Diceros bicornis minor: one gene and its partners. The protein of the gene in region 4 interacts with the protein of the main gene of each other region in a pairwise test. Links are inferred from orthologs where the notes say so. Each region holds a gene or a part of one and is shown on either strand. Other genes may lie near its edges.

Region 1 (7,427 bases), on a different chromosome or scaffold from region 4:
GCTCAGGGTGCCTCTGGCTCCAGGTAGCCCCAGAAGGGGCTCAGAAGCCCCTGGGGCCCAGTTGGTATTTTGGGGCAGGGCATTTTCCTCATACCTGGGGGAGCAGAGGGGCTCTGTCGAGGAGTAGGGGCTCCGGAAGGCAGCCTCCCTCCTGGCCCGTCGCAGGGGGTGGCCACGTGGGCCTATCTGGGCGGAGAGGCCGTGATGCTCCCTCTCCCAGGGGTCCAGGGTTGAGTGGGCAGGGGCAGCTCCAGACAGCCGGGTGCTCCTCTGGCTCAGGCTGCGAGCTGGGGGGCTACTGCCCTTCTGTGTCCCTCTCTTCCTCCTCCTGGCTTTCACCTGGGTTTCCACCAGCCACTTGGTACCACTTTGGCAGGACTCCTGGATTCTCTGTGACAGGTACACGGAAAGGTGAGCACAGACAAGCCAAGGAGGAGCTACCCCGAGTCTCCAGGCTGTACCTCTACCCACTTGGCCCACCAGCTATCCTGCAAGTACAGGCAGCTTTTAGTCTCAGGAGTGAGGGATGTGGATGAGTCTGTGTGAAATGGGTGCATGGCAGGGACCCAGCTCAGAGCTGGGTGTGAGAGCAGTGGTCACAGCAGAACCATTCTTGGACGTGGAGCCTGCATTTGTCTAAGCCCAGCCCCTGTTGTGGGACACACGTTGACCCAAAGAATCAAAGGCAAGGCCCAGGGAAGACCAGGCTGACCCCCCAGGATACCATGAGATAATTGGTCTCCCTGCCTCTGGTCTCACTCACTTTATCCATCCTCCACATTTGTGCGCAGAGATCCTTCTCAAGGGCAGCTCTGACCATGACACTCAACAGCTCAAAACCCTTCTATGGCTCTCACTGCCCACAGGATCAAGCCCTAACTCATGGGCCTTTCACTCCAGCTGGGGCACGGCTGTGAAGGCTCTTCCTCAGCCAGGCTGTCTTTGCCTCGGCAAACCAGAGTCTGGAGGTTAGAGACTCGAGTTACCTTCGGTGAGTAACTTTGGTGACCTTGGGCAGCCTACCTCATTTCATTTCTCTGATCCCTGGGGTATAAAACAATCACAGGGCTCTTCCAGACAAGGACTAACATTTGGCTCAGAGACCTTTCTGCAAAGGGTTCAGAAACAGCTTCCCTCTCCCAAATCTTGAGATTCTCAATCAGACACAAAGGAGATTCCTCCCTCCCCCCAGTTCTCTCCTTGGAGGTCTAGTCACTCTCATGGCCTCTGTCCTTTCTAGGGGACACCTTTCCACATCTCCAGCTCCGGGTTTGAAGACACACCCACTTTGAAGGCCCACAGGTACCTCACACCCAACATATGTGATATCTTCTTGCCCACACATCTCATCTGATACCAAATCTTCTCACATCTACCTTCTGAGTAGCTCTTAAAGTTGTTCACTCCTCTGTAAGGCTAGGGCCCCAGGCCCCCTTAGGGGGAATCTTCTTCTAACTCCTTTTCCATCGAGTAGCTAAAGAACAAATTCTAATATGCTAATTGGACCCTATTCCCACCCTGTTGAAAATTCTTCCCACTGGTTCCCATGGCTCCCTATCACTCTTGGGAGAGTCTAACACCTTCAGCACACCAGATCCCTCTCTCTTGCACCAGCTTGCTCTCTGTTCTCTGGCCACACCCAGACTAAGCGCCTGTCAGTTCTCCTTCATTTCTGGCTCTGGACTCACACTATTGCACCTGCCTCATACATTCCTCATTCTTCCTCTTTTGTGGGTGAATTCTGCGGAATCACCTCCTCTGGGAAGGCTTCACCCACCGAGCTTGTTTTTGGTGTCACCCCCCATCAGCCACTCCTTGCAATTTCCTATCACAATACAGCTCTTATCACCTTGTACTGTGAGGATCTATTTCCTCCATGACACTGTTTTCCTTCACTCATTCAACTATTTGTTGAGTGCCAGGAATTATTTGGGGTGCTGGGACACAGCAATGAAAACATCAATGTCCCTGTCCTCTTGGACTCTGTATTCTTTGGGGCTCCTTGAGGGCAGCAGCTGTCAGCACCGAGGAAGCCCTCCATAAATTGATGGTTCGCGCTGTCAGCATTACCTGGGACACGGCACCCAAGGCGTTCTTAGCTGAGCGGGCCGCAGCCTGGAGACCCTGCTGCCCTGGCTCTGGGGCTTCCAGGCGTTTCCAGGAGGGGCCCACCCCCAGGTTGAGGCTGACTGCTCTCAGAGGCAGCCTCCTTTGGAACTGTCTGCACAGAGAGCCCAGGGCCCCACTGGAGGTCTCCGGATGGCTGACTGCAGGCTGCAGCATCTCACTCTCCTCCAGCTGCTCCTGGTCCTGGAGAGATCTTCGGCGCAAGGAGACCCCCACGCTTGGCCACCGAGAGGCCATCTGCCTGGCCAAGAGTCTATTCTGTCCACCAGACCTTGGGAAGGAGGTCAAAAGGCAGGTCAGCAAGGCATCCCCCATGCCCAGGCTCCACAGAGACCCTGGGTACAGGGGAAGAGATGGGACGGAGGCCCATGGGGTGGGGTGGATGGCCGAGGCCGGGGGTGAGGGCACTCGGCAACTGTGGGAATAGGAAGGAGGATGCTTCCTAGAAGGCGAGGGCAGCGAGGCCCAGAAGAGGGCAGAGGCTGTACAAGGCCGGTCAGCATCTCCTGCAGTCCCTTGCTGCAAGTGTCTAAAACAGCTGTCCTTCCATCCCAGCCTGCTTTCCGCTTCCTGCCTCAGGGAGGGAGGCAGAGTCAGGACCGGCCCTCCCGAGCCTCAGCACTTGGCCAGGGCACCATCAGCGGCTCTTTCACAAACTCGCGCTGACCCAACGCGATCCCGCCAGGACCCCGCATACTGACCAGACACCCCGATTTCCACCTTGCAATACCCAGACGCCCACGTGCCGTGCCCATCCTACCCGCTCCGCCCCGGTCCCTTCAGAACAGAAGCCCCACTACGGCCCGGCCCGCACTCACCCAACAGCCCCCAACGTCGACCGGACGCCCGGCACAGCTGCTCCTCGCCCACTCCGGCCGATTTGAAACTCCGCGCGGATCCGCCCCTGGTCCTGTCGTCACAGCTGATTGGCTCCGTTCCCGCATCGCTGCCGCGCCCGGGATCCGATTGGCTCCCTGCTCTCGCGGCTGTGAATCCTGCCCGCGGATTGGCCCGGCCGTTCCCATTCATCCCTCAGGACCGCGCCAGGCTTGGCGCGACGAGATGCTTCTCCTTTGTAACTGCGGGTCCCGACCGCGCCCCTCGCCGGCCCAGCCCCCGCGCCCCCTCGCGGACGCTCGGCCCCAGGCCACTGCGGCCCCTCCTCGAAATGCAAAGGGTTCAGGCTGGTCGGACTGGGCGGGGCAGAGACACGGGCCCGGGCTCCTGGGGACCCTCCCATCCTGTCCAGAGTCTCAGATTATCCGTCAGAAACAGCCGGCAGCTGGGAGCTCGGAGCCCTGGGTTCCCGTGGAGGTTTTGTTTCAAACTTCTCTCTGCCTTCCGGAGACGAGGCACTGCCCTCCTGTGTTCCCCAGACTCCACCAAACTCTGCCCCCAGGAAATCCCATCCTGGAAGAGAGAACAGACCAGAGTACATCACCCAGCCCTCCTCCAATGAGCCCCCTCCCCACACCCGGTGTGCCCCACTGACGCTCCTCTCTCTCCAGTCGAATGCCTTCCTCTAGAAATCTCCCGCCACCATCTCCCTCTTTTACCTGACCTCACAGCAGCACTGGCCACTGTCCCCATCCTCACCTGGTTTAACCCGCCCCCTCACCTCTCTGGCCACTCTCTTGCTGATGTCTCAGCTGAAGGGCTCCTAGAAGCTCTGTCCTTAGCCTCTTCTTTATCTCTGGGTGATCTCACCCACTCTCTGGCCTCAGTGACCCCCCACGGGATGGTGAGTGTGATGAGCATGTATGGGGCGCTCACTGTGCACCAGGAAGCTGTGTCCCAAGCACTGTATATTATGAACTCATCTGACCCTCATTGCAGCCTAGAGGAGAGGAGGAGACTGAGGCAGAGAGAGCTTCGGTTGGGTCCCAATCTCCCTTAGTTAGTACAAAGCAGGGCCAAGGATTCAAACTCTGTCAGTCTGGCACCAGCGTCCACGTGCTGCACCACCACACCACACCACACCACATTGCCCTTCCTTAGCCTGTGCCTGTCCCCTCATGCCCATCTCCTCCTGGGGCTGTAGGCACCTTAAACCCACACGCCCCAATCGACGTCACCCTGGTCTCTCCCAACCCTCCTCCTCCCTCCCCGTGTCCCCTCTCATGTCTTTCCAAATATCTACTGGTGTCTGACAGATGAAGCACTGTGCTAAAAATGGACCAAAGGTCAACAAACAGACGCATTCCTTACCCCCACGGAGCTCAAATCTAGTGTGTGGGGAGAGACCGGCATTAACGAGTCAAATAATAATCAATTAATCAAAGAATATTATGACACAAAAATTACGTCATTTAAAGCTGAGATCCAGAGAATGAGTTGACCAAGCAAAGAATGTACGTGCGTGTGTGTGTGTGCGTGTGTGAATGCGTGTGTGGAGGGTCTTCTCGCACAGGAATGTTCAAGGCAACATTGAACAGTACCCGTGTAAGATGCCCAGCACACACACATATGTTTAATGAAACAAGCTTTCCTGAAACTGTGTGATGGGCTTTGATATTTTATTATCTACTTCATTTTTTTTAACATGCTGGTGACAGCTCCCAATGGCTCCCTACTGAGGTGTGAGCTGCAGTTTGAACAACCCTGCTCTGGTCTGCCTCTTCCCCCTTTTCCCCCATTAAGTTATTTCCCAAGCATCAGAGGTGTTTGTTCCCAGCCCTGTTTGTGCCAGTTATATTTGTTATTGGAATTAAAGAATGTAGTTCAGGTCCTCTACCAACGAGACATAAGGGGGAAAGCAAGAGTTGTTTTATGAAAACTAAGTTGAAAGTGTGGGAAAGACTTAGAAAAAAAGTCTCTCAAATTGGGTTGCCTTGTTACAATTGCGTCAAGGCCTTGTCTCCGTGCCTCTAGCAGTGCCTGGCACCTCACTGGCGTCAATACGATAGCTTAAGTTGGTTGAGCCCTTAACACGTGTGCGATAAGTGAATTCCTTTATTCTTCCTTAATCCTCACGGTGACTCTATGACAAATTACAGATGACACAACTGAGATTCAGGTGGGTCAAGTGTCTTACCAAAGTTGGGATGGAGAGTCAGAGCTGGATCTTAAATCTTGGATGTCTGACTCGAAAACCTGAATTCTTAACCTTAGATTACACAGCCTGAATGAATGAGTGAATGAACCAGAGACAAGGCCCTCCCTGCTTGGGGCTTCACACCCCCTTCCCTCAGAACCATAACTGGCGGGCCAGGTGCACAGGATCAGTCTCCATGGCAACGATAGGAGGAGGAAGAAACCTGAATGGGAAGGCTCTCCCTCTGCCCTGCAGGGAGTGAAGTGAGGGAGCAGCACGGAGGATGCGCTGAGGTGAGCAGGTGCCCAGCGGAGGGGCGGTGGGCGCAGGGGCTCCTGCTCCTCCTCGTAAGGAGGAAAAACCACAGTTGTTCCGAGCTGAGGCTTTTTGGGGTCCAGCTCCGTCCTCGCCTCTGCTGGGGAGGAGGATGGAGGAGTGAAGGAGGAGCTCCAGCCCTGCCCCGCCCCGGGGGCTCCCTGTCCAACAGCAAAGCTTCCACCGGTTTCCTGGACCTCATGGAGCTGTCAGTGTGATGGAAGCAGCAGACATTAAACTCTGCAAGATGCCACGAATGCGAAGTGCTAGGGGCGACGAGGGGGTGTAAGGGGGTTGGGGAACCCCACTTGATTTGGGGGTGAGGGTAGGCTGCCCTCAGCATATCATGTTTTAGCTGAGGAGTTAGGAGGACAAAGCGAGGGGAAGAGGTTTTCTGATTGAGAGATCTGCAAGGGGACTGCCCAGGCTGAGTGAGATGGAGAGGGCGGGGCCGGGGTGGCAAGAGGTAGGGGCTGCAGGGCTCCCTTGACCGGGGAAGGAGCTTAGAATTTATCCTGAGGGCAGAGGGAAGCCTGAGTTTTGAGAGGACCGTGGGGTTGTTAGAGCTGCAATTTAATGAAGTCCATTAGGAGGTTAGTTTGGGGGCCAAGGGGTGGCGGGGGGATCCGTCTGGAGGCTCTGGCCTAAGCATCTCATTCTTCAAAGCAGTGAAACCCCGGTCATCAGCTTTAACACCCCCTCCCTTCATGCCCCCACCTCTCACCCCGCCCACCGTCTGCCAAACCTCTCAGTTCTACCTCCTCTAATCCGTGGGTGCCTCCTGACCCTTCTACAGAGGGAAGCAACGGAAACAGCGGGAGAGTTTTAAGCAGTGTGAGACGTGATTAGACCTTTTTCTTCGTTGTGAATTTTATCACTGGCAGAAAAATGGCGAAAACATCAAGTCTCGTATAATGAATACGTGTAAAGCCAACAGCCGTGTACCCATCACCTGGGTGAAGAGACAGCACATTACTGGGACCCCAGAAGCAGCCCCCACCCCCTGTTGTGTGTCCTCCCTCCGTCCCTGGACTTTTATGGTAGTCGCTTTTATTTTTCTTTGTAGTTTTGTCATCTAAGTATCCGTCTTCCCTCCTATGCATGCAGATGGCTGGCTGGAACGGAAGAGAAGGGCCTCTGCACCCCCACCCTGATCCCCTGCCCCCAGAGAGGGATGGAGCTGGGCCCTGGGGGCCGGGGGGTCTGGGCGCTCAGGGAGGGGTCCTGGAAGGGCCTGATCCGACTACCCCAGTCTGGGTTCTCTGGTCCAGACCAGCTGGCCCAGACTTGGCCCCCTCTATGCCACCGGCTCCTCATGGGAGTCAAGACTCTTGGGTGTGCCGTTTTGGGGTCCCACTCACTGCTCCAGGGAGGCCCTCCACTTCCTGGAGAGGGAGGCAGGAGAGGTCGATTTTCCTGGTTCAGCTGGGAAACTGGAGTTAGGATGGGGGACACCCAAGGCCACAGTTCAGAAAATAAGAGGTGGGATCAGCTCTTTGGAGGCATGTCTATCGGCTGCTAGTCCAGTTCTCGTCTCTGCCTGTGGTGGGGCCCCGTGTCCCTTCTCCCTGTAACAAGTCCCTCTGGAGTCAAGAAGAGGAAGGCTTTGGTGCTCAGAATCCTCCAGCACCCTCAGAGCTCTGAGGAGACGAAGCATAAGAACTTGAACAGGCCACAAGGTGGCGCCAAACACCAAGCCTTCACATTTCTCACTTTTGGAACAGAAAGGGGATCCCTGATGCCCTGAGCAGGCTCTGCCTGGGCCTCAGGCACAGGGCTGAGACCCTCCAAGGGGGACAGGAGAGCCAATGCCCCCAGCCAGACCTCGTAGGGGAGACAGAAGTGGTGCTGGGGAGGGCTCCACAACTTCCCCCAAACCTGCACCCTTCTCTTACTCCATTTTAGTGTTCTCCTGAGCCAGAAACCTGCCCCCCTGCCCTCCTGCCACAAT
Region 2 (7,810 bases), on a different chromosome or scaffold from region 4:
TTAGCTGGGGACTGGGGACACGGGGTGGTGGGAGCCCAGGGCCACAGCGGGAATGTGCCCGTAGGAAGTGGGCAGGCTCTGTCCCAGAGGCAGGGCTGGGGTTCTGGAGGGCAGGACATAGCAGAGGGAACATTTAGGCTGAGGTCAGGGTCTCAAGCCAGAAGACCATGACTCTGTCGTTTCTGCCTCTCAGGATCTTTCTCTATCCCAGCCCTATGGGTCTCCTCCCTCTTGAAGGAACACTTCTCATCAGCATTTAAACATATGTGTCTTTCACATCTTTAAGAAAACAACAAACTACCCCTCCTTCTACCTCCATTCCTGGCTCCAGTTACCAATCTCTTTTTCTCTCCTTCCTAGCCAAGCTTCCAGACTCTGTCCCCACCAAGGTCACTGATAGCTGGCCTCCAAGCCCTCAAATCCAGGGTCACTTCCCTGATCTCATTGTCCTCGGCCTGATCCTCAATAACACTTGGATTTCACTTCCAAGATCCAGACCTGACTCTCCATCTGCTTTCTGGACACACTCCTACCCCCTGGGAGTCCCACAAATGCTTCAGCTTCAACAGAACAACATATGACCTTATTGTTTTTTCTCTCAATCCTGCTCCTTCTTCTGAGACCACTGGGTAGAGAAACGGTGCCACTATCTACCCAAGACAGAATCCCACCACCATAACCCTGTCCCTGCCCTTCCCACTGCCCTTAGAAATAAAGGTTGAGGGGCCGGCCCCGTGTCTTAGCGGTTAAGTGCGCGCGCTCCGCTACTGGCGGCCCAGGTTCGGATCCAGGCGCGCACCGACGCACCGCTTGTCCGGCCATGCTGAGGCTGCATCCCACATACAGCAACTAGGGGGATGTGCAACTGTGACGTACAACTATCTACTGAGGCTTTGGGGAGAAAAGGGGAAAAAAAAAAGAGGAGGATTGGCATGGATGTTAGCTCAGGGCTGATCTTCCTCACAAAAAAAATTAAAGAAATAAAAGTTGAGAAGTGGATTATATGGCCCTTTATGATGTGGGTTTAGCTGACTTAGCCTAACCTCGTGCTCTTCTCCCCTCACAGTGAATTGTACACAGCCTCCCCACGGGCCACACTCTCTCTGGTCTTAGGACTTCTATCTGTGAGGTTCTAGCTCTATAGAATGTTCTCTTCCATTCTCCCCTTGCCTAATTTCTACTTGCCCCTCACCCAGCCATCATCACTTCTGAGAAAGCCGCCAGCCCCACCCTGAAATAGAACCAGCTATCTCTTACTCCTCTGGTACATTAGTCCCCTGTGATTTTCCTCTCTCCCCATAACTCAGATAGGGTATAACTGCCTGTTGGGCAACAAAATAGACAATACCGGGGCCGGCCTGGTGGCGTAGCGGTTAAGTGTGTGCGCTCCGCTGCGGCAGCCCGGGGTTTGGATCCCGGGCACGCACCAATGCACCGCTTGTCAAGCCATGCTGTGGCGGCATCCCATATAAAGTGGAGGAAGATGGGCATGGATGTTAGCCCAGGGCCAGTCTTCCTCAGCAAAAAGAGGAGGATTGGCGACAGATGTTAGCTCAGGGCTGATCTTCTTCACCAAAAAAAAAAAGATAGACAATACTTCTGGCTCCCTGAGGCAGGTACCTGCAGCTGGGCCTTGACCCGGGACTCCACTTTGTCATATTTGGGCGAGCGCCACAGAGCCTTCAGGGGCCTGGGCTGGCCCTGCTCCCGGCTGCACTCCTGCTCACGGAAGCGCCTTTGGATCTCTCTGATCCGCCTCAGGTTCTCCTTCTCATGGTCTTTAGGGTCCTTCCCTGCGGAAAAGATGTTGCCAGGATCTTCCCTACATACAGCCCAGGCAATCCAACTCATACCAGTTCACACACAGGCCCACACCCTGCCCTCCTACAGAAACATCTCTCTGACCTCTCCATCCAACTTAGATCCTATACACATATTCCACCTCATCACCTTGTTCCCTTCCTGATATAGTAATCTTCTTCCATCCTTGATTATTTTCTACATTTTTATTGTGACGTATACCATTAATCATCTTGTATATCATATTCATCTCTTCACTTGTTTATTGTCTCCCACCTTGACTCGATGATGGCCCATGCTTGTCTTCAACCTTGTCTTCCTAGCACCTATAGGGCCTGGCACACAGTAGACACTCAGCAAACAACGTTTCATTGATGCTTGAATCCATGAAGCTGAGCTAGGGTTTCCCAGGGAATGACTCATTCAGTCCTCTCCTGAGAAGAGGTAGTGCATTTTCTCCTTCTTTTATAGTTGGGGAAACTAAGACTCCGAGAGGCAAAGTCTGAGCCCAGGTCCAGGAAGGAGGAGCCCCCCCTTTTGATCTCAGCTTTTGACCTCAGACTCGCCTCTCTGCCCCTTCTGCCCAGAACTTACTCTTGGGAGAGGCGCCTGGGCCTACGGAGATATCCCCGAATTGCAGCAACACGGCCCCTACGGCACGCCGGCCACGCTCCAGAATCTCTCGGGCTCCGGGGCTCATGCGGGGGCCGCGGGGAGGGGTGGCATCCTGGTCCGGGTCCGAAGTCAACAGGTTCAGCTTCAGCGCGTTTCCCTCAAGGCGCCCTTGGGCTGAGGGGCCGGACGGGGTGGAGTGCGGGGCTCAGTGGTGGAGCGGGGCGGGAACCTCGCTCGAGCCTCGCCTGGCCGCGGCACCCACCAACTCACCTGAGGACGGCCGCCGGTAGTAGTCAGGGCAGAGCGTAGGGTCTGGCGGGATGGGCCCCGAGATGCGGGACGGGCCCTCGCACATGCCGCCGTCGTCGCCCTGCAACGGTGGACCGAGGCCTGCCGGGCTGCGCATCTCCGGCCCCAGAACCCTGTCCTCAAGCCCCATGCCTCCTCCCTGGACCGGGCCCCTGATCCCGGCCGTGCCCTCCATTCTCTCCCGGCCCCCGCCCTGCCTCCCGACCCCGGCCTGCCCTCGCTGCCTCGGCTTCCAGCCCACTTCCCTGCCCGGTTCGCGGCCCCTCCCCCGCAACACCTGGGCAGGGGGCTCACCCGAGCCGTTTTGCCACCCGCCGCTGCAACCGGACGGGTTTGCTGTTGCCAGGCAACAATAGTTTCCGTCCCTGAGGTCAGGGGCCAATGCCCCTGGCGCAAAGCCCTCTGGGGCTTGTAGTTCCTGCTGAGGGTGGGGCAGAGCGGCCGCTAGTAGCCCTTCCCTGGCTCTCGCCTACCGGCCGATCTCCGCCGATCTCCAAGGTCAGCGCAGGGTCCACCAGTCCGGCCCCTCGGGGCCCGCCCCCCGCCGACCAAGCAACCGTCGAGGATGCGCTGACCCCGCGCAGCCATGGCCTCATCAGGGGCTCAGAGGCGGCCAGGGGCCCAGGAGGGGACGGCCGTGGAGCCAGCACAGCTCGCGGAGGCGCTAGGTGGCCGCGCTCAGAGCTCTGAGGTGAGGTGTCTCTAGCCTTCAAACACTTGGCCGCAGCGCTGTAGGAGGCCAAACTCTGTGCGATGACCCCCTAACTGCCAGGACAGGCTTCATAGGCTGGGAGGGTCATGGGCTGGTGCCCTTCATTCGCATTTGGTGTCTGATGTCAGGTGTCTAATGACTGATCCCTGTATCCTTTGCCTGGCCATGATAACTAGTTACCTATGTGTCACCTCTAGTGTCCAGTGATGGGAGTACAGTGCCTGGTGCCAGCCCATGAGGCCTGCCGGACCCAGGGTGCAGACAAGTATCCAGCAGGATCAGTGTCAGAGCCAGAGCTCCAGCAGGAACGACTCAAGCTGGAAGAAGAGAGGCTCAAGCCAGAGGTGGAGGCACTAGAGGAGAGAGGCCCCAGGCCTATGGCCTCCATTGTGAGGCTCAGTCATGGTCCGAAGAGGAAGCCAGTCAAGTGAGGGGGCTTTCAGAGGGAAGGAGCTGCAGAGCTGGAGGCGGGGCTGGGGGGACGACAACTCACAATCCAGTAGGATTCCTAAATCCATCCTGCACCCCTGCAGGGTGCATCCTTATGCCCTGCCACCATCACTCCTCACCCCTTCTGTCCTTCAAGAACCCTGGTGTAGGGACCATCCTGAGAGGTAGTCTCAAGGCCTTGAAGGGGACTGAGCTCACATGAACTCTCAGCCTCTGACCAGCCCGGGGCCTCACTGACCAGGAAAGGGACAAGAATCGGGTCCCAGGGTGGTGGGCAGGCAGGGCTATTCCCTAGGCTCAGGACATAGGAGTCAAGGCTGAAGGCTGGCTCCTCGGTCCTCCTATCCCCCAGCCTCCCAGGGCCTAGTCACCAAGCCCATCCTAGGGCTGAAACTGAGCTGCCACAGGGGCTGCCGCTGCAGAGGGAGGAGCCAGAGAGTAGCCAGAGTGAGCCGTCACTGTCTGCCAAACAGCACAAAAAAGCCAAGAAACGCAAGAGTCTGGGAGCCCCAGTGCTCCCAGCTGTGGCCAGCACAGTGTCTGCACCCTCAGAGACTTTGGGGCTGGAGCGTGAGTGGCAGTCCCCGGGCCTTCCTCTTTCCCCCTGCCTGCTGGACCCTTGACATGGCACGGCTTGGCACTCTAGCCCCTGCCCTGCCCTGGGTCCTTGCAGGAAAGGCCCAGCGCCTGCGGCCCCTGTACCAGTACATCAACTATTGCAACCCTGAGCTGAACCAGGCAGGGGAGGGAGACAGGGAGGTGGAGGCCGAGGTGGAGCCTGAGTTGGAGCTGACCCCGGTCCCTGAGGAGGCAGGTGTGGAGCAACTGCAGGCCTTGCTACATGTGGCAGGTGAGCTGGGCTCAGGCCTTACTTTGCCCTGCCCCAATACGTTTGTGTTCCCCACCCATGCTCTGGTTCCCCTGGGAAAGGAAGCTGGAGAGGAGCCTGGGGGTTTGCTCAGCTTGGGGGTCAGCGGCTGCCTCAAGGCTGAGGTGGATAAGTCAACTCAAGTGGACATTGACAAGATGCTAAGTATCTGTATGGCTCCACTTGTACCCCCACTCTCTCCTCAGTACAAGTGACTGTCCCGCCCCACTCGTGGCTCCCCTCCTCCCAAGCCTGAACCAGAGCAGCAGCCTATGGGCCTAGGCCCTCAGGTGGAAGGGGGAATTTGGCCTCTGCCCCCACTTGGGACCTTGGACTTGCTGAAAATAAACGTTTTCCTTTTCTCAGACTATGATTCCCCAAATAAGCTGCCTGAAGAGGGAGAGGCTGGGAAGAAGGGTGGAGGATTCCCCAGTGCACGGTTTGAAGCCTGACTGGTCATCTGGATTGCCCAGGAATTTGACAAAAATATAGATTCCTGGGCACTACCCCACATCTAACTGAATCAGAATCTGCACAGGTGGGGCCCGGTTCTGTGCATTTAAAGGCTCCTCAGATGAACCTGAAGGTTAGACAGGAGAACAGTGGGGATGGAGAGGGAGGTGACAAGGAGAAACTTGGGGCAGAGAAAGGAAAGGGACTGTCAGATCATAGGAAGCAGGTGCTTGGTCTTGCTTCATCTCCCAGGGAAGGGGCCTGCATTTGGTCCAACCTCAAGGAGACCAACACTTGGGATCCACCCTCTAGAGTGGCAGAGTTCACTTGTCTGCTCCAAGAGTGGCAGCTTTGGAATGCTTTCCACTTATTGCCAGACCACAACTGCACCAGACTTTGCCCCCAGAGTGGCCCCTGGCGACAGAGGCAATGGTGCCTTTTTCCTGACAGGCAGGGGGTGGTGGTAGAGGTGTATGTTCTCCCTGGAGCCCTGAGGCCAAGCCACCAGATGACTACTGCTTTTTGACCTCAGGGGTCTCTGGGAAGAGGCAGCTAGTGCTGGCCATTTTGGAAACTCTCATATCCTGCTGCCTCCTGATTTTCCTACATGTCCCTCAGACACTTTAAACACAGGGAATTCCAAATTAAATGAATAATTTCTTCTCTCTCCAACCTGCTTTTCCTCCTGTATCTCATCTACACAAATGTTCCAGCAAAAATCCTGGGTGTCACCTTGAAGGATTAGACTGAACTCAAGGGCACACATCACCACATTGTATCACCTAGCAGAGGGCCCCCATAAAAGGCATCAAGATAAGGAGACCAAGGTGGGGAGCTGAGGAAGCTGCAGAGAGGGACAGGTCAGGATCTGAAAGGCTGAGGCCATCCAAAGTCCAGAACCATGTATGGGGCCCCCGGAATAATGGCCTGGCAAGATCATCAGAAGGGATGGGGTGGGCAGGCCCAGATGGAAGAAGTAAGAAGAAAATGGGCATTATCCCAAGCTGCTCCCTCCGTTAGGGGTCATTTGGATGCTCCCTCCTTTAGGGGTCACCGGCCCCATGGCAAGGCCACAGGGTAAGCCATGGAGTCAGGATATTTCTTCTTTCTGCCCACACTTTTCCTTGGAAAGTGATTTGACTGCCCCAGGAGATACTGTCCACAGGGATGAGCATGGATTCTCTGGGATTTTTCAGAGGTAGAAGGCTCTTCAGATAACTAGCTTGAGCTCCTCACTATGACTGAGGAAGCAGAGGCCTGGAGAAGTGGCCTTGCATGAGACTACACCCTGGGCCCCAGGGAGGCCCTGCCCTTTCCAGAGCTCTGCAGATCTGTGGACCTGGGGGCTCTCTTGCTTGGACCCTGGGCCTGACCCAAGAAGGCCAAGCATCTGCTTTCTCTGTGTGGTCTCCAGGGCTGGAGGTGTGGGCCAGGCCAGCACTGATAAGGAAGCTCTGTCCCTATCTTTCAACAAGTGATAAAGAAAATACACAGTAACCATATTAGAAAGAACTGGTCTACATTTCCTGAGTCCTATTACCTGACAGGCTTATCTAAGCAGGGTAGCTGACAGAAGCCACAGAAAGGAACAAGTTACCATTACTGCTCCTAGAACCTCACTCTAAGGGGGAAATGCTGAGACAGCACGATACAGGGAGACGGGTGCCACGGAAGAGCCAAGGACCAAGGCAGTGGGACCACAAGTGATGGGGGTGACTGCCACTTTGCCTAGGGCAGAAGTAGTAAAGAGGCAACCCTCCAGCTGACTCCTGAAGGACAGAGTTGAGAGTTGAGACTCCAGGCAGAAGATATGCCAGGGACAAAGCCTTGCTAGTGTGAAAGAGATCAGCCCCGTGCAGGAGGGCCAGTTAGCGTGGCTGAAGCAGAGGCATGGCCATCAGGAGACCAGGTTGGGCGAGTCTGGAGTGATCAGGAGGGGTGTAGGCAAGGAGGGATCTTGGCCTGACATTTTGGAGAGGTCGTTTAGGCAGCACTGTGAAGGGCAGACCAAGGGAGAGACTGGGGCCAGGGAGGAAACTGCTGCCATTGTCTGAGGCCTAGATTTGGTTGGGGGTTGAAAAATAAGAAACAGGTATTTTGGAAATTCTTTTCTGGCTGCTGTATCAGAGAGGAAAAGCTAACTGCATTTTCACTGATTTAGAAAAACTTATATTTACTTTTGATGCAAGGAAGATCCTGAGATTTGGGAAACAGATCCTGGGAGGTGATGCTGCCTACCTCCAGGAGGGGGCGCTGCAGGACAAGCCTGGAACCATCTGTGGGCTCAGTCGCCCCTGGGTACCAGAACCCTGCTGGCTTCCTTAGCTACGGGCATCTAGGCCACTTCAAGGTACATCTCCTCTCTGGGACCAACTCGAGACACACATGATGGTAAAGATGTCTGAGGGATGGCCATGGGCCTGGCTTCTGGGGATTGCCAACAGAGGACTTGGTGTCCTCATAAGCCCACTGCAGTCTACCCCAGGACTTCTGGGAATTCATCTTTGTAAACAAGAGGTTTGCTCCAGAGCCCTAAAAAAACATAAGAAGTGCCACTGTGGATCTGCAACGTGGCGCTTTCTTAAGTAGGAGCATCTGAGTCA
Region 3 (6,838 bases), on a different chromosome or scaffold from region 4:
CAATAATTTGCTTCCTGATTTTGTATAAATTATAACAACCTAAATATCCAAACATAGGTGATTGGTTAAATATAGTATGTCATGGGTTGTAATATTTTTATATTCATAGACATGGAGGAGGAACTGTTGTTAAGAAGGGATAAAAGCAAGATACTAAACTATATATGGTGAGATTTGGGAAGACTATTAGGTAATTTTATGCCTAGAAACCCAGAAATTCCCAAATACTGTCTTCCTCCTGCCACAGCTCTTTCCTGTAAGGTCTTGAAGGAAAATACATGTGGACAGGGAAATGGCGAATGTCAAATAAGATGCCACTTTATTATGTGTTGTGCTTGTTCCTTTGTGCCCAGTGCAAAGCTCTCTGGTGAGTTTAAGGGGCCTCCACTTCACGCTAATTTCAAACCAAAATCTCAGGATCTAATTACCCTGTAACCAGCTGCATGGTGCAGAAGAGGTAAGAGCATGATGTCACCTGTAAGAAAAAATAAGCCACATTTGAGAGTGTGACCTCCTCCCAAGTCAGGGTGGAGGGTGGGCCTAGGTCATTTACCCACTCTACTCATGGAAGTGAAAGCAACAGCTTATATAGATGTCTTTTCAGGGTGAGGCACTCCTCTCCTCCCCTTCCTCTTCTTCCCCATCCCCACTCCCTCCCCCCCTCCTCCAGCCCTCTCCCTTCCTTCCCTCCTCTACTTTCCCTTCCTCCTCCCTCACACCCTTTTCTCCTTCCACCATCCTCCCCTTTCCTTCTCCTCACCCTCCCTCCCTCCTTCTTCCCTCTCCCTCCCCACTTTCTCTTCTCCCACCCTTTTCCCCTTTCCTTCCCCCTCCCTCCTCCTCTTCTCTTCCTCCCCCATCCCATTTCTCTCCAATCACTTGAATGTGTATCCTCCAAAGAAGAGCTAAGTTCTGGGAAATATATCAGAATGTTAATAATAGTTACATTTTTTAAAATTTCCCTTTTCCTCAGTATTTTCTACTTTTTCTATAATAGGCATATTTTTTATAATTAGGAGAAAATGCTAGATTCTCATAGCATGATACACTTTATTTGACATTTATTTATTTTAGGTTGTAATAGAAGAACATGAAAAAAATCAAATGATGTAAAGTGATCATTTTCAATGAAAGGCAAAGTAGAACATATACAAAGAAAATATGGTTAGTAACTTTAGTTTACAATTACACAGTATAAGATGAGGAAACATTTTTTTAAATACTGGGTCATATTAACACCTCGGTGGTAAACAATAACTTCATTATGATTAAATTTATAGACCAGTATGTCAAATAAATAAGCACACAGTTGTATCATATATGGTTTTGATGGACATTCTTAAATGTATGCTAATCTTTTTTCAAGTAATTAAATTTTACAATAGACTGTTCTAGTTGGTATAATCACTGTATTCCTATAGCAAAGTAATGAAGGCACAGCTAGTGCAAGCAGATTTAAACCCTTAGTTTTCTGGGCTGGAAAAAGAAAAAAAAAACACTTGCATTGATACTTCAGGAACTTTTTTTTCAAATATTTGTCTCAGTTAACAATTCTGACAGTTTTCACAGCTATATTCTGGTAGGAACATGACAAAAAGACTTCACAAAAATCAAAACTCTGTAGCACCAAACTAACATGCTTTAGATAATTGACAGCAGTTTACATATTTTGAAGAATATTACACTACAACAGGCGAGATAGAATAAATTGATACTTAAGACAATTTTTTAGACTACCAAGAAAATATGAAAACACCAGACTGTAAGGAATACTAGTGTTGAGGTTATGAGGCAGGTTTTTTTGTTTGTTTGTTTTTTTCCAACGCTATATAAACCTGCTTCACTTCTGCTTGAAGTTTTGAGATTCTTGAATATTCTTTCAGGCAGCCTCTTTTTTATTTTCGACATTTTCTGTTTCTATAATCTTTGCCATCATCATAGGTACCGTTGACTTCTCCTGTATAGTAATAGATTGATTTCAGGATGACGTTATCATGTAAAATTTGACCAATTTCAAAGTCCTTGTCAAGGATAGCATCTTCTCGTGGTTCCAGCTTTCCGATTTGGGGAATCTCAGGAGGGCTAAAGAAATTGAAAAATGATGCATTAGGAACCACTCTTGGCTGGATTTTAATTTCTCCAGTAGCAGTTGTGCGACTCTGAGTTGTTGTCATGGTAACATCCTTTCCTCTTCTCCAATCTATCTTACAGCCTTTGCAGTCTTGGATTTCCCATCCCCAAGAGAAGAAGGGATCATCGTGATCTGGTTTTGACTTTATTATATATGTCTTGGTCAGCATCTCATCTCTGAAGTATGGGTTGGGTAGAAAATAAAATTCAAATGTGTAACTTATAGGCTGGCCAGGTTTTGAGAACTTCAGGCTAACATCTGACAAAAACTTCAGAATAGGCTCATCATACTTCTGAATCATGGGCCCAAGCTTGTCAACATTCTTTAAAACAGTCAGCCAGTAGTCAGGAATGCCTTTAGGATCTTCTTTTTTAGGCTTTCCCTTACGAGCTCTTTTAAGATTCACTCTTTCTTTAGGCCTGACCTCAGGAACTCTTTTAGAAGCCTCTTTTACTCCAGCCCTTGCCTTAGCCTCTACTGCCTTAGGCTGTCCTTTATCTTCTGCCTTTGCCTGGGGGACTTCTTTAGCATCTTCTTTTACTTCAGGCTTTGCCTCCAGCAAATCTTTAGACTCTGCTTTTTCTTCAGCCTTTGCCTCAGGAATTTCGTTAGGTACCTCATTTTCTTCAGCCTTTACCTCAAGTTTTTCTTTAGGGTCGTCTTCTTCCTCACCTTCTAAGGCAGGCATTTCACTAGGGCTGTCTTCCTGCACCTCCTCATCACTGCTGAACACCTCATCCTCTGAATTCCATTCACATTCTTCTTCTGTAGGTTCATATTCTGCATTGATGATTTGAAATCGCCGATCATATAGAGGCTTATTGAGTTCAGCATATTTTCGTTCGAGATCGTGAATTGCCTTTAAGAACAGAGCGTCTACCTTGTCACATTCATCTTGAATATTTCTGAGCGCCTGCACACGATTTCTAACTGACTGAGGCAGCCGGTCCACGAAATTTTTACCCGACGGAGCCCGCCGCGCCCTTCTGGAAGGCCCAGGTACCCTCTTCTTTCTATATAAGCGGCTGCGGCTACTGCTGCTGCCACTGCTGCTGTAACTAGTGCTTCTGCTCGAGCTACTGCTGTCAGATTCTTCCCCAGAATCGCTAGACGAGCTAGCCAGCATCTCTTCAGCAACCCCCTGGGCGGCAGGTCCCGAGACCATGTTAAGATCCGCTTCTGCCATTTTGCAAGCCAGTAAACCTCTAAAGGTGGTGACTACTGCTGAGACCGCGCGCCCAGAGATGGGCAGAAAATGACTCACGGATGCTTGGGTGGCGGCAGCGGCCCGGGCTGAGAAGGTGGCAGCGGCGAAGGCAGCAGCAGCGTGGGGCGGGACTGGGCTGCGGCGATCGCGCGGAGGTGACAGCGGCAGTGGAAGCCTGCGCGAGAGCGGCGGTGGCAAGGCCTCTCCCGGCTGCCGCCGCGGTGGACAGAGGCGTGCCGCAGCCGAATAGCGCTGTGTGAGACCCCAAGTTCTCTTCACGGTTTAGATCGGCAGCCCCCTCCCCTTGCAGTCAGACCTCCTGTTAGTTTAGTTCCCAGGGTGCCTTTAGCTCGCGCCTCATTTGCTGGGCAAGTTTGATTGACAGTCCCTAAGCCCAATGAATGACCAAACGCACCGCCCGCCTTCCAGGCTCCGCCCATCTTCCCAGACGCTCCTTGGTAGCTGAGGCACACACCCCTGGAAGACGATTTTTCCCCTTTAAATTCTACCTTTATAGTTTTATAATTCAAAAAAAAAAAGCTTAGATATGAGGTAAAAATACTAGCCATAGTTCCTAACAAGGGAAGAGGAGTATCTTTCTCCCATCCGCTCATCCTAAATTCCCGTTTGGTTTATCAGGGGCCTCTTGACAAAAATCTGTTTTTAAAAAATTGGATGAAAGTACTCCAAGTGGCATCATTGGGTAGTGTGATTATGGATGATTTTTTTTAATCTATTTTATCTAAATATTCTATGAGCATGTATTTTTACACTGGAAAAAAGGAGAGTCGTTTATTGGCAAAGGAGGGAGGGGCTAGAAAGCAGGCATGTTGCATTCCACGTAGCAGTTTTAATAAGTGCTGTCTGTGATGTTTGGCAAGCCTGCTTTATATCCATCTACAAGGTTTTCGAGCCCATGTTGCCGTGAGTCAGTTGCACCATTTTTACTATATTTCTCTCTTTAAGCTGGCGTATAATGTACCTCAACCTTGCTGCTGACTTGCCAGTTAGCCCTTCAAACCTTGTAGATAAAATAAAAGGGTATTCAAATGTTAGGTAGTATTGTTTAAAAGCAGAAGGTTTGCTCTATACTTTTGTGCAGCAGTTTTCAATTCCACAAACAGCAGAATGGGAGGGGAATTTGTGCTGATAAACGTGCATCCTCTGTCAATATATACTTCACAATGTCATCTACCACCAATTTCCTTCTAACATTGTAAAATTCTAGCCATATTAAAAGTATGATTTACAAGTCCAGAAATATGTGAATAAACTTTTGCAAAATGAAATTTAAAAACAGGTATCTGTTATTTTTATTTACAGGATTCTTTTCTGCTACAGAACAACTCCCTTGGTACATCCAAAAAGACCAGTGTTTACCTTTCATTAAAAGGTAAGGAACATATTTAGCCCATTTTTATGAATGACAAGAATTACCTACCTGTATTTGAATAAAAATTCACAGAATATAGTCTTTTAAAGACTTAATTGGAAGATATCTTGATATTTCTATGGAAGCAGAAAAATCCACGGAGGTGATTTGACATACTAATGTAGAAAATAGCCTAATTAATCACATTCACTATCTAAACCTGCTCATAGAATACAAGCAGTAAATTAAAATATGAATTATTTTATTTTAAATGAGGAAAATGTTAGATTAACTTTTATGTTACTTTTTTATTGTAGGATTTGTGCTTTGTCGTTTCATCATATATTTTATAAAAAATTAGGAAGCACTAGTCTTCTATTTTGTAAATGGATCTACTTTTATTGTTTATTTCTGATTGTCAAAGTATATAAGCATTTTAAAGAAAAAATACAATATAGAAAATTCCAATGATAGTAAAAATACACAATCTTAACAACCAAACTATAGCCATTGTTAGCATTTTGATGCATTTCCTTCCAGAAATTTCTTTGTACATATACACACCTGCCTATTTATATACACTGTTTTATCTATGTGACATCATATTATGTTTTGTAATCTGCTCATTTAATTTATCAATTAATTGTGGCTATATTTTCATGGTAAATAATCAACATCTTATTTTAAAATAGATACATATTCCATGGAAATATTTGCCTTAATTTATTTAACCAGATTCCTGTTATAGGGCACCTATTTCCCACACTCTCTCTCCACTAACATACATATATTTTCCTGTTATAAGAAAATTAGCCCTGGATATGTACTGTATGCACTTGTGAAAATTACTCACAGGATGAATTCCTAGAAAGGAGAGGGCTGGAATAAATTGTGTGCTCATTTTACTCTTTGATACATATTGCCAAACTTCTCTCCAGAAAAGTTATCACAATTTACAGTCCCATCAACAATGAATGAGTTCATTTATTTAGTCATTCAGCTAATATATTCCTGTGCTTGCCATGTGCCAAGCATATGTGGTAGAGGATAGCAATAGAATGGTGAATAAAACTTACTAGGTGCATATCTTTTCATTTCATAATTTAAATCAAAACATATACTGTGAAAATGATTTAAATCAATAGAGTTATGACATAAATATTGTTCTACAACTTATTTTCATTTAAAATGATGGACATTTTTTTTAATGAATGATCTTACATTTTTATAGCACTTTAATGGTTTCATATACATGTTAAATTTTGTACCATCAGGAATTAGTATTTTGGAGTAAGAAATGAATTAGGGATCCGTATTTTTAAAAAATATATGTTTTTATTAGCAAATAAAATCTAATAAGTAAAAATTATAAAAAATAAAGGTCTGCTCTCTGTTTCTATAGATTAGTTTGTATTTTCTAGGATGTTATATAAATGGAATCATGTAATATACCCCTCTTTTTACTTGTCTTCTTTCACTTAGCATAATTATTTTGAGATTCATCCATGTTGTTGTGTGCATGGAGAGTCATTTTCCTGTTTTGTTACTGAGTAGTTATCCATTACTTGGAAATACCGCAATTTGTTGATAGGCATTTGTGTTTCGAGTTTTGGGCTACTGTGAATAAAGCTTCTATGTTCATTTGTATATGTCTTTGTATGGACATGTGTTTTCATTTGTTGGTGTGTATATTTAACTTTTTAAGAAATTAGCTGTTTTCCAAAGTGGTTGTACAATTTTGTATTCTCACCAGCAGTGTCAATACTAGGTGTGGTCACTGTTTTTAAATTTAGCCATTTTAATAGGTATGTAGTAGTATCTCATTATGGTTTTACTTTTCATTTTCCTAATGACTAATGATGTTGAACATCTTTTTGTGTACTGATTTACCATCCACATATCTTCTTTGGTGAAGTGTCTATTCATATTTTGCCCATGTTTCTATTAGGTTGTTGTCTTACTATTGAGTTTTGAGAATTCTTTATATACTCTGGATACAAGTGTTTTATCAGATATAAGCTCTGTGAATATTTTCTCCCAATCCGTGGATTTTCTTTTCATCCTCTTAATAGTGCCTTTCATGGTTTTTCAGAGAGCAGAAGTTTGTGATTTTGATGAAGTCCAATTT
Region 4 (6,889 bases):
AGATGGGTACTATTATTATCCCTATTTTATAAATGAGGAAACTGAGGCTCAGAGCGGCTAAGGGCTTGTCTAAGGTTACAGTGTCAAGTAAGTGGCAGACGGGAGTTAAACCTAGGACGCCGGCTCCAGAGTCTGTTCTCTCAACTAACTCCTACTCTTCATTCACTCTAATCTCCTTTGTTTGCTCTAAATCAGAGATGGTAAATGGATTTTATATCATTCTGAAGCGATTTCCAAGAACTCTGTGCTGAGAGGGATTTGGAGACCTTACACCCAGGTCCTGTGGGAAAGGATGCCACGTTAGTGGTGGCCACCTCCACGCCAGGCATTTCCCACACAGTGTTCTAAACCACAGAAAAGCAAAACCATGCATTCTGCAATCTTACAAAATGTGTCCTTAAAAAAGCAGCCTGGATAAATAACTCTTCTGAACGATGAAAACAATCCTGAAAGTTTCAAAAGCTAGTTTTATTGCAATGCAAGACATTTACCTTTCGTCATCTTCAAAGATTGGACTGTCATCTCCAGATGCCATGGTTGGCAAAATAGTCTTTAATCCAATTAGCAGCCAGGAAAGAAAAAAGCAGAATTGCAGCAAAGAAAGAAGAGAGCAACAAAGATGACATCTGCAAAGGGTTGTTCTAACGTTGCAATCCATTTCGTAAATTGCATGTAGTTTCTGATGAAACAGCTTTTACATACAACAGAATTGCAATCTCTAATTTTCAGGGAGAGAAGTTAAATCATACAAATTGGCCAATCATATTTTTCCCTAGTTTGGATTTATAATTTCCCAAAACTAGAGAATAAACTCTAGTTCATTTCAAGTATTACACCACACCAGAGCCATAAGAGACAAGTCCTCTGGGTCCCATGCTTCTCAAATTGAGGCACAAGAAACCCCAAGGGTATGAGGCAGTGGGTCAGGGAATACATAAAACTCCAGGATAAACAGAATGCATTTTCTGGAGGAACCAACGTTACAGGGTGGTAACAAATTTAAAATGCAATCTTTATTCTAAATTTCGGAAGGCTATATTATGGAGGAATATATAATTTAAAAAATTTTTTTACTTCAAAGAAATGTTGATTTTGTAGGAAGCAGCCAAGGATATGCTAGTTTGCTTTCTAAGAGCAAGCTTAATTTACCCACCTACTCAAGCCCACTTAATTTACTAGTGCCAGTAAGGAATCCACAGAAGTTACGTGGTTTGCTTAGGTCACTAGCAGGGCCCAAGCCAGAACTAGAGCCCAGGACTCCTGTGCAATTAATTAAACAGTAACTGGGCTGTAGTGCTAATTAAATTTTACTAAAATCAGAAGCACACATGTACTCAGATGCTTAGGAAACTCTCCACATTTGAAGATTTGGGATTAACAGGTGTACCCCTGCCAAACCTATTGGAAAATAAGCTCAACCGTTTTTTGCTCACAAGATCTACTCTAGCCTTCTCCCTCTAGATGCCCAAGGGTGTTCTCGCCTTGTTAAAAAGGAGAGATTGCCAACTTTCTTAAACTGGAAACAGCTAGAAGCCACAAACGGTTTTTAAAAAGATGAACAGATTAGCACCCATGAAAGCAACCCAGTGGGCAAAGAAAAGCTAAGAATTTTAGAATAAAAACTAGGTAAAGATTCAAAACACTTTGTACCTAAAATAAATCCCTCTTTTTTTACTAGCACCTTACAAATGTGTGGATTTTTCTAGTCTTAAGAAGCCCTAGGATATCTTCTATGAAGGTGGAGGGTATCCTGCAACTGTGAAAGCAAAGAGAAAACAGAGCAAAAGAGCAAGCCAAACAGCATAATATAAACTTGGATAAGGCATCCTTTGTAAATCAGAGTGGACTTAGGGATATTATTCAAATTTTGCTCTACAACTTTTAGAGATTCTAGAAAGTTCAGTAATGCAGCATTCAAACTTGAAAGAATTGCCCCGTTTTCCATTATAAGGAACTTCAAATATTACTAAATCACATTAAGATAAGGCATGGTAGCGTCTTAATTACTATAACTTTTCATATGGAAGTGTAAAAGACAACACAACAAATTAGAAGGGAGTTAGAAATCAAGATCACATCTCTTTTTTTTTAATTTTCTCTAAACTATCAACATTCATTCATACATCCAACATTTATTTATGGAGTATCCACGTCAGGTGTTAAAAACGTTTTGGAAATAGACAGTGGTGATGGTTGCACAACATTCTGAATGTACTTAATGCCAACGAACTGTACACTTAAAAATGGTTAAAATGGCAGTTTTATGTTATATATGTTTTAGCACAGCTTAAAAAATTCATACTGTAATATACAAAAAACGTTTCATGCTTTAAAAAAAGAATTTCATGCTTTAAATAGGTAAATTGTATGGTATGTGAATTATACCTCAACAAAGTTGCTTAAAAAAAAAAAAAGACCTAGTTGCCCCGCTGGTTGTGTTTCTTAGAATGTACTTACACCTATAACGAAGAGGTGATCACATCTGTCCTTGTCCCCCGATTTCTACTTTACTCATGTAAACGGGAAATATCTGTCACACACAGATATCCAAGTTACAAACTGGACTTAATAAACATGTCATATTCTGAGGTCATCGAGCACGCTAAGTTATTGGTCACTTCTGTGCCAGGCATTGAGCTGGGCACTAAGCTCAGAGTGAGGGACTCTGGAGAGACCAAAAGATAATTACAGCACAGCCATGGCGGTGTCCTTGTAAAGGGGAGCAGTAGAGGACAGAGTGGCCCATAGAGCAAGGACCCTAGCCCTGCCAAATGTGTGGCAAGGCCAGGGAAAGCTTCGGTTTAAAACTTGGGAGAAAGGAATTAATCCACTGTCATTTTTAAACTCCTATACATACACTTAACGTTCAAGATCATGCGACCAAACTGGAAAACAGGGACAAAGAAAACTTCCCTCTATTTTAGCACAAAGTTTTAAAAATGTAAATGAAAAGGATGGAAAACAAATTCCATTTATTTTGATTGACGGGGACAATGTCACTCATCTGAAACTTCTTACATGTCTTCAAAGAAAGCTTTTTGAGTATCTAGTGAGGTACCCATCACCATAATCTTTTAAAATCCCTTCCCTAGCAACTCAACACCCATATTTCAGAGTGCGACTTAAACATTAACACGTTTCCACTGTTCATCTAACCCCAGCTTGAATGTTGCCTTAACTTAGGTTTAACCGTACTGGGGACTGCAGTGGTTTGTCCAAGCTGAACGCAAGTCAGTTTTTAAAATTACTAACAAGCTCACAGTTCCCTTTTCAGCAAAGCTCCCGGTAAGGCCAGCCACAGGTAGGTCCCCCTTCAACAAACGGGTGCTGACACTGCACGCCCGGTCCCCCGTGAAGCACTGGGACCTCCAGCAAAGTCGGTCAGGAAGCTCCTAGAGCCAGGTATTCCCAAACGCTAGTGGAGGTACAAAAACGAGAAAAACTCTTCTGAGGACCATTTTGCAACCTATAGCACAAGCTTTATGAGGGATTAACTCTAAACAAATAATCATGCCCCCAACAGCAGAAGGAACAGTGCTCAATGGAATTGCTTTTTGTAAAAGCTAAAAACTGAAAACCACCTTTATGTTCACCATCAAGGAGGGACTCCGTTAAGTAAATCACAGTCCTTCACTCAACAAACTGAACGCCCGGCCCGGGCCGGCGCCGGCAGGGTGCGGCGGTCAGGCGGGCACACAAGCCCGCAGTCTAGCGCGGCCACCAAAAACGACTTGGAACACTTACAGCCGCGGGCAGATGCACGTGCTGGATTAGTAAGAGAAAGAAGCCAAGTTACAGCACTTTATAATCCAAGTTCTGCAAAAATAGCCTGCTCACGCTGACAGGGAAAAAGGGGCTGGAAAGAAACGCAGCGCAGTGTAACCCGGTGTCTCCGGGGAGCAGGGGGTCGGCTCCCGGGCTTCCTTCCCGGGCTTTTCTGCGCCGCTTTTCCACAGCGACAGGTACTAATCGTATGGTTGGGCACGAGGCCGAGGCCGGGGCGGCCGGTCGCAAGGCCTGGCCGGGGAGGGGCGCCCCGCTGCCCCCGCCCGCGGCCGGCCGACGGGAGCCGCGGGAACTCGGCCGGCGCGGGCGCGGGCGCGGGCCTCACCGCAGGGTCCCGGGGCCGCGCACACCCCGCCGCCCGGAGAAGGCCGCCCAGGCCGCGCGCGGGGGCTGCCAGGGGCGCCCCCCGCGCCCCCCGGGGGCGGTCTCACCTGCACGCCGCGGCCGCGGGCGGCTCCGGCCCCGCAATGCAGGGGCAGACTCGGCGCCGTAGGCCGCGGGGCCTTGCTCCCCTCGCCGAGAGCGGCAGCCGCTCCGCGCAAGCTACAGCCCAGCGCGCCGGCTCTTTGTCGCGCTCCCGGGCCCCGGCGGTGCCCGGCGCAGGCCGCCGCCGCCGCTGCCGCCTCGCCACTCGGCCGCGCCAGCCCCGCCCGCTGCCTCCGCGGAGGCCCGGCCTCACCCCACCCCCACCCCGGAAACATAGTCCCGCACCGCGTCCTGGCGTCCTGCCGGCAGACGTCCCTAGGAACCAGCCGAGCGCCGGCGCTGGGCGGGACGCTGGGGACACCAGGTGGGCAGACACAGCCCCCGGGCCTGCTCTGAAGCCTCGGAGCAGGCAAACCTGATCCGGCATTCGCTGCTTGCAACCTGTTGATGGCTTCTGGTTACTCCTTTAGTTTAGAGACCAAAGCTCCTTGTGGGCGTGAGGCCCCGTGTACGATGCAGCCCCTGCCCAGCCGGCTTCATTTAGATCCTCACATGGTGCGAGCTCCTTCTCACCCCAGGGCCTCTGCAAGTGCTCTTCCCTCTGCCTGGACACGCCTCCCTGCCTCTTCCCTTAGTTACCCTCCATTTTTGTTGTCGAGATTGTTCCTGAAATATTTCTTAAGGAAAACTATCCCGGCCCCTCAGACTTGCAGCGCCTGGAATTCTCTTAGTTCCTTTCAGGGTGTGCAATCATTCGTGTAACTTTTGATTAATGTGTAACTTAATAGTAGACTGAGGTATGTGAAGGCAGGCACCGTGGCCGCTTGGCTCCCTCTCTTCCATCTCCCACGTCTGCACAGTGCCGGCTCATAGGAGGCTCTGATAAATTATTGAATGAAGGACAGTGTCCCCTGCACAGAGGGAGGAAGGTTGTTGAGTGGGCCATCTGAGGAAAGAGGGAGTGGTCCCCGTGGAGAGTGGGCCGAGCAACAAAACAGAGACATGTGAAGGGATTCTGGAGGGGTTCTGAGGGCCCAGGGGATCTGGGGGCATAGGGGCATCCAGGCCCTATTGTGCAGTTGCTTCCTGCAGCTTGATGTTGAGGTAAAGAAGGATTATTTCACCTTGGCAATCGGTAGGGTGGGTGTGGTTTCTAGATGCTGAGCAAGTGTGTGAGAGAAGGGAGAGTTGAGAGATAACAGGGAACAATCTATTGATTAGGTTGTTAGACTGGTTAGTCTGCAAAGTAATAATGACTGAATTCTTCAGCAAGTTATGTTACAGGAATTCTGCTTAGTGAGCCCTGATTTCTTGTTTGCTACCCTGTATTGAAAGCTCCCCAAAGATGAAGACTTTTCATATTTGTTTTTTTCTTCTGCACTGGTGTCTTGAACAGAGAGTTTTCAATAAATACTTGTTGAAAGAATGAATTAGAGGGGAAAAGTAAAAGGCCCCAGAGTGGAAATTTCCAGAGATAGGACAAGGCTAGCTGAAGACACCTCCCTAATTCCTTTTTCCTAGTCCTTATTTCTTCAGAAAAACAATCCTGAGTTGTTGGGCTAGGACCAGGAAACCCTGGTTGGGCGGCAGCTCAAAGATATTGTTCAATGAAGAATCATATTTTCTTACAAAACTTCAGGAGTCGGGATATCTTTTACAAGACCAATAAGGTGTAATTTGTTGAATGCTTGCTATGTGCCTTATATATGATGGCCTGTGGTGCTCACTAGAGCCCAGTGATAATATTTACACCCATTTTACAGAGAGACCCAGAGCCCTTCAGAAGTTGCAGGGCTAGCATGTGGAAGCGGGCCTGTGGCATTTGAAAAGTTCATGGTAACAGGGCCTATTATTAGAAAAGTATTAATTGTGCTTGAAGAAAAATCTGGGCCCTGTCTTTGAGACCTGGGGAATCCCTCTGCCCAGGGACCCCAGAGTGCAGTGGAGTTCACCCTACCCCTCGGTGCCTATTCTGCACCCAGAATAGGCAAGGCAGTCTGATTCCTCAGCTGGCTTGTTCTGTGCCACTATTTCCTCTTTGGGTATAGTTTCTGGGGTACCTGAAGTTAAGGAACATGCTAGTTTGGGCTATATTGTCCACCTGCTCATTCCCTGGGCCTAGGACACTGGAGACAGGAATAGTCACTTGTTACTAGACAGGATTGTTATGGAAAGAAAGAAATTCTGAAAAAAGCACTGTGAAACTTGAGTATAAAACATACTCTTCCAGGCTGATCCTGCTTTTTTGTGTGTGTGTGAGGAAGATTGTCCCTAAGCTAACATCTGTGCCAATCTTCCTCTATCTTGTATGTGGGACACCACCACAGCATGACTTGATGAGGGGTGTGAGGTCTGCCTCCCAGTATCTGAACCCACCAACTCTGGGCCGCCAAAGCAGAGTACACCACTGGGCTGCCCCTGATCCTGCTTTTGACTTTATTTTCAGTCAGATTGTTTCCTTGTTTCCTGGCAAGTACCCTAGATGCTGTTCTAACCTCTGAAACTGCCTCTCACCGACTTACCCATAGACATCAGTGTTTTATTTTAAGAGAACAGCTAAAAATGCTTTCATTCACATTAGTCCGTGTTTTCGTTGGGCCTCCGTTTGAAAAGGGAACTGTTAATGGGTTAACTGATATTCTGAACTTGCTTTTTAAACAGCATGAATAGAAATCAA

The links.
Region 1: the proteins of CEP70 (region 4) and PIMREG interact in binary tests that used the Homo sapiens proteins (3 or more experiments, as listed by UniProt). The two-hybrid records come from large-scale screens. The link is inferred for Diceros bicornis minor from reciprocal best matches to the Homo sapiens genes CEP70 and PIMREG.
Region 2: the proteins of CEP70 (region 4) and ENKD1 interact in binary tests that used the Homo sapiens proteins (3 or more experiments, as listed by UniProt). The link is inferred for Diceros bicornis minor from reciprocal best matches to the Homo sapiens genes CEP70 and ENKD1.
Region 3: the proteins of CEP70 (region 4) and FAM133A interact in binary tests that used the Homo sapiens proteins (3 or more experiments, as listed by UniProt). The two-hybrid records come from large-scale screens. The link is inferred for Diceros bicornis minor from reciprocal best matches to the Homo sapiens genes CEP70 and FAM133A.

What each region holds. Positions count from the first base shown.
Region 1 is NC_080757.1:12,900,566-12,907,992, reverse strand, and holds the start of PIMREG (protein PIMREG), read right to left. Parts: upstream 3,022-7,427; 5' UTR 2,946-3,021; intron 2,399-2,945; 5' UTR 2,365-2,398; coding exon 2,071-2,364; intron 391-2,070; coding exon 95-390; intron 1-94. UniProt on the Homo sapiens protein: During mitosis, may play a role in the control of metaphase-to-anaphase transition.
Region 2 is NC_080771.1:19,462,170-19,469,979, forward strand, and holds the start of ENKD1 (enkurin domain-containing protein 1), read right to left. Parts: upstream 3,012-7,810; 5' UTR 2,900-3,011; coding exon 2,686-2,899; intron 2,590-2,685; coding exon 2,395-2,589; intron 1,794-2,394; coding exon 1,621-1,793; intron 104-1,620; coding exon 1-103. Other genes in the region: C32H16orf86 (uncharacterized protein C16orf86 homolog), read left to right, coding at 3,311-3,415, 3,634-3,863, 4,023-4,031, 4,239-4,456, 4,560-4,969. UniProt on the Homo sapiens protein: Microtubule-binding protein which regulates microtubule organization and stability. Promotes the stability of astral microtubules and facilitates the proper orientation of the mitotic spindle.
Region 3 is NC_080781.1:87,219,369-87,226,206, forward strand, and holds the start of FAM133A (protein FAM133A), read left to right. Parts: upstream 1-3,838; 5' UTR 3,839-3,890; intron 3,891-4,207; exon of another isoform or gene 4,208-4,262; intron 4,263-4,661; 5' UTR 4,662-4,731; intron 4,732-6,838. Other genes in the region: NAP1L3 (nucleosome assembly protein 1-like 3), read right to left, coding at 1,896-3,317.
Region 4 is NC_080741.1:14,632,285-14,639,173, forward strand, and holds the start of CEP70 (centrosomal protein of 70 kDa), read left to right. Parts: upstream 1-3,889; 5' UTR 3,890-3,962; intron 3,963-4,217; exon of another isoform or gene 4,218-4,380; intron 4,381-4,497; exon of another isoform or gene 4,498-4,726; intron 4,727-6,889. Other genes in the region: FAIM (fas apoptotic inhibitory molecule 1), read right to left, coding at 492-658.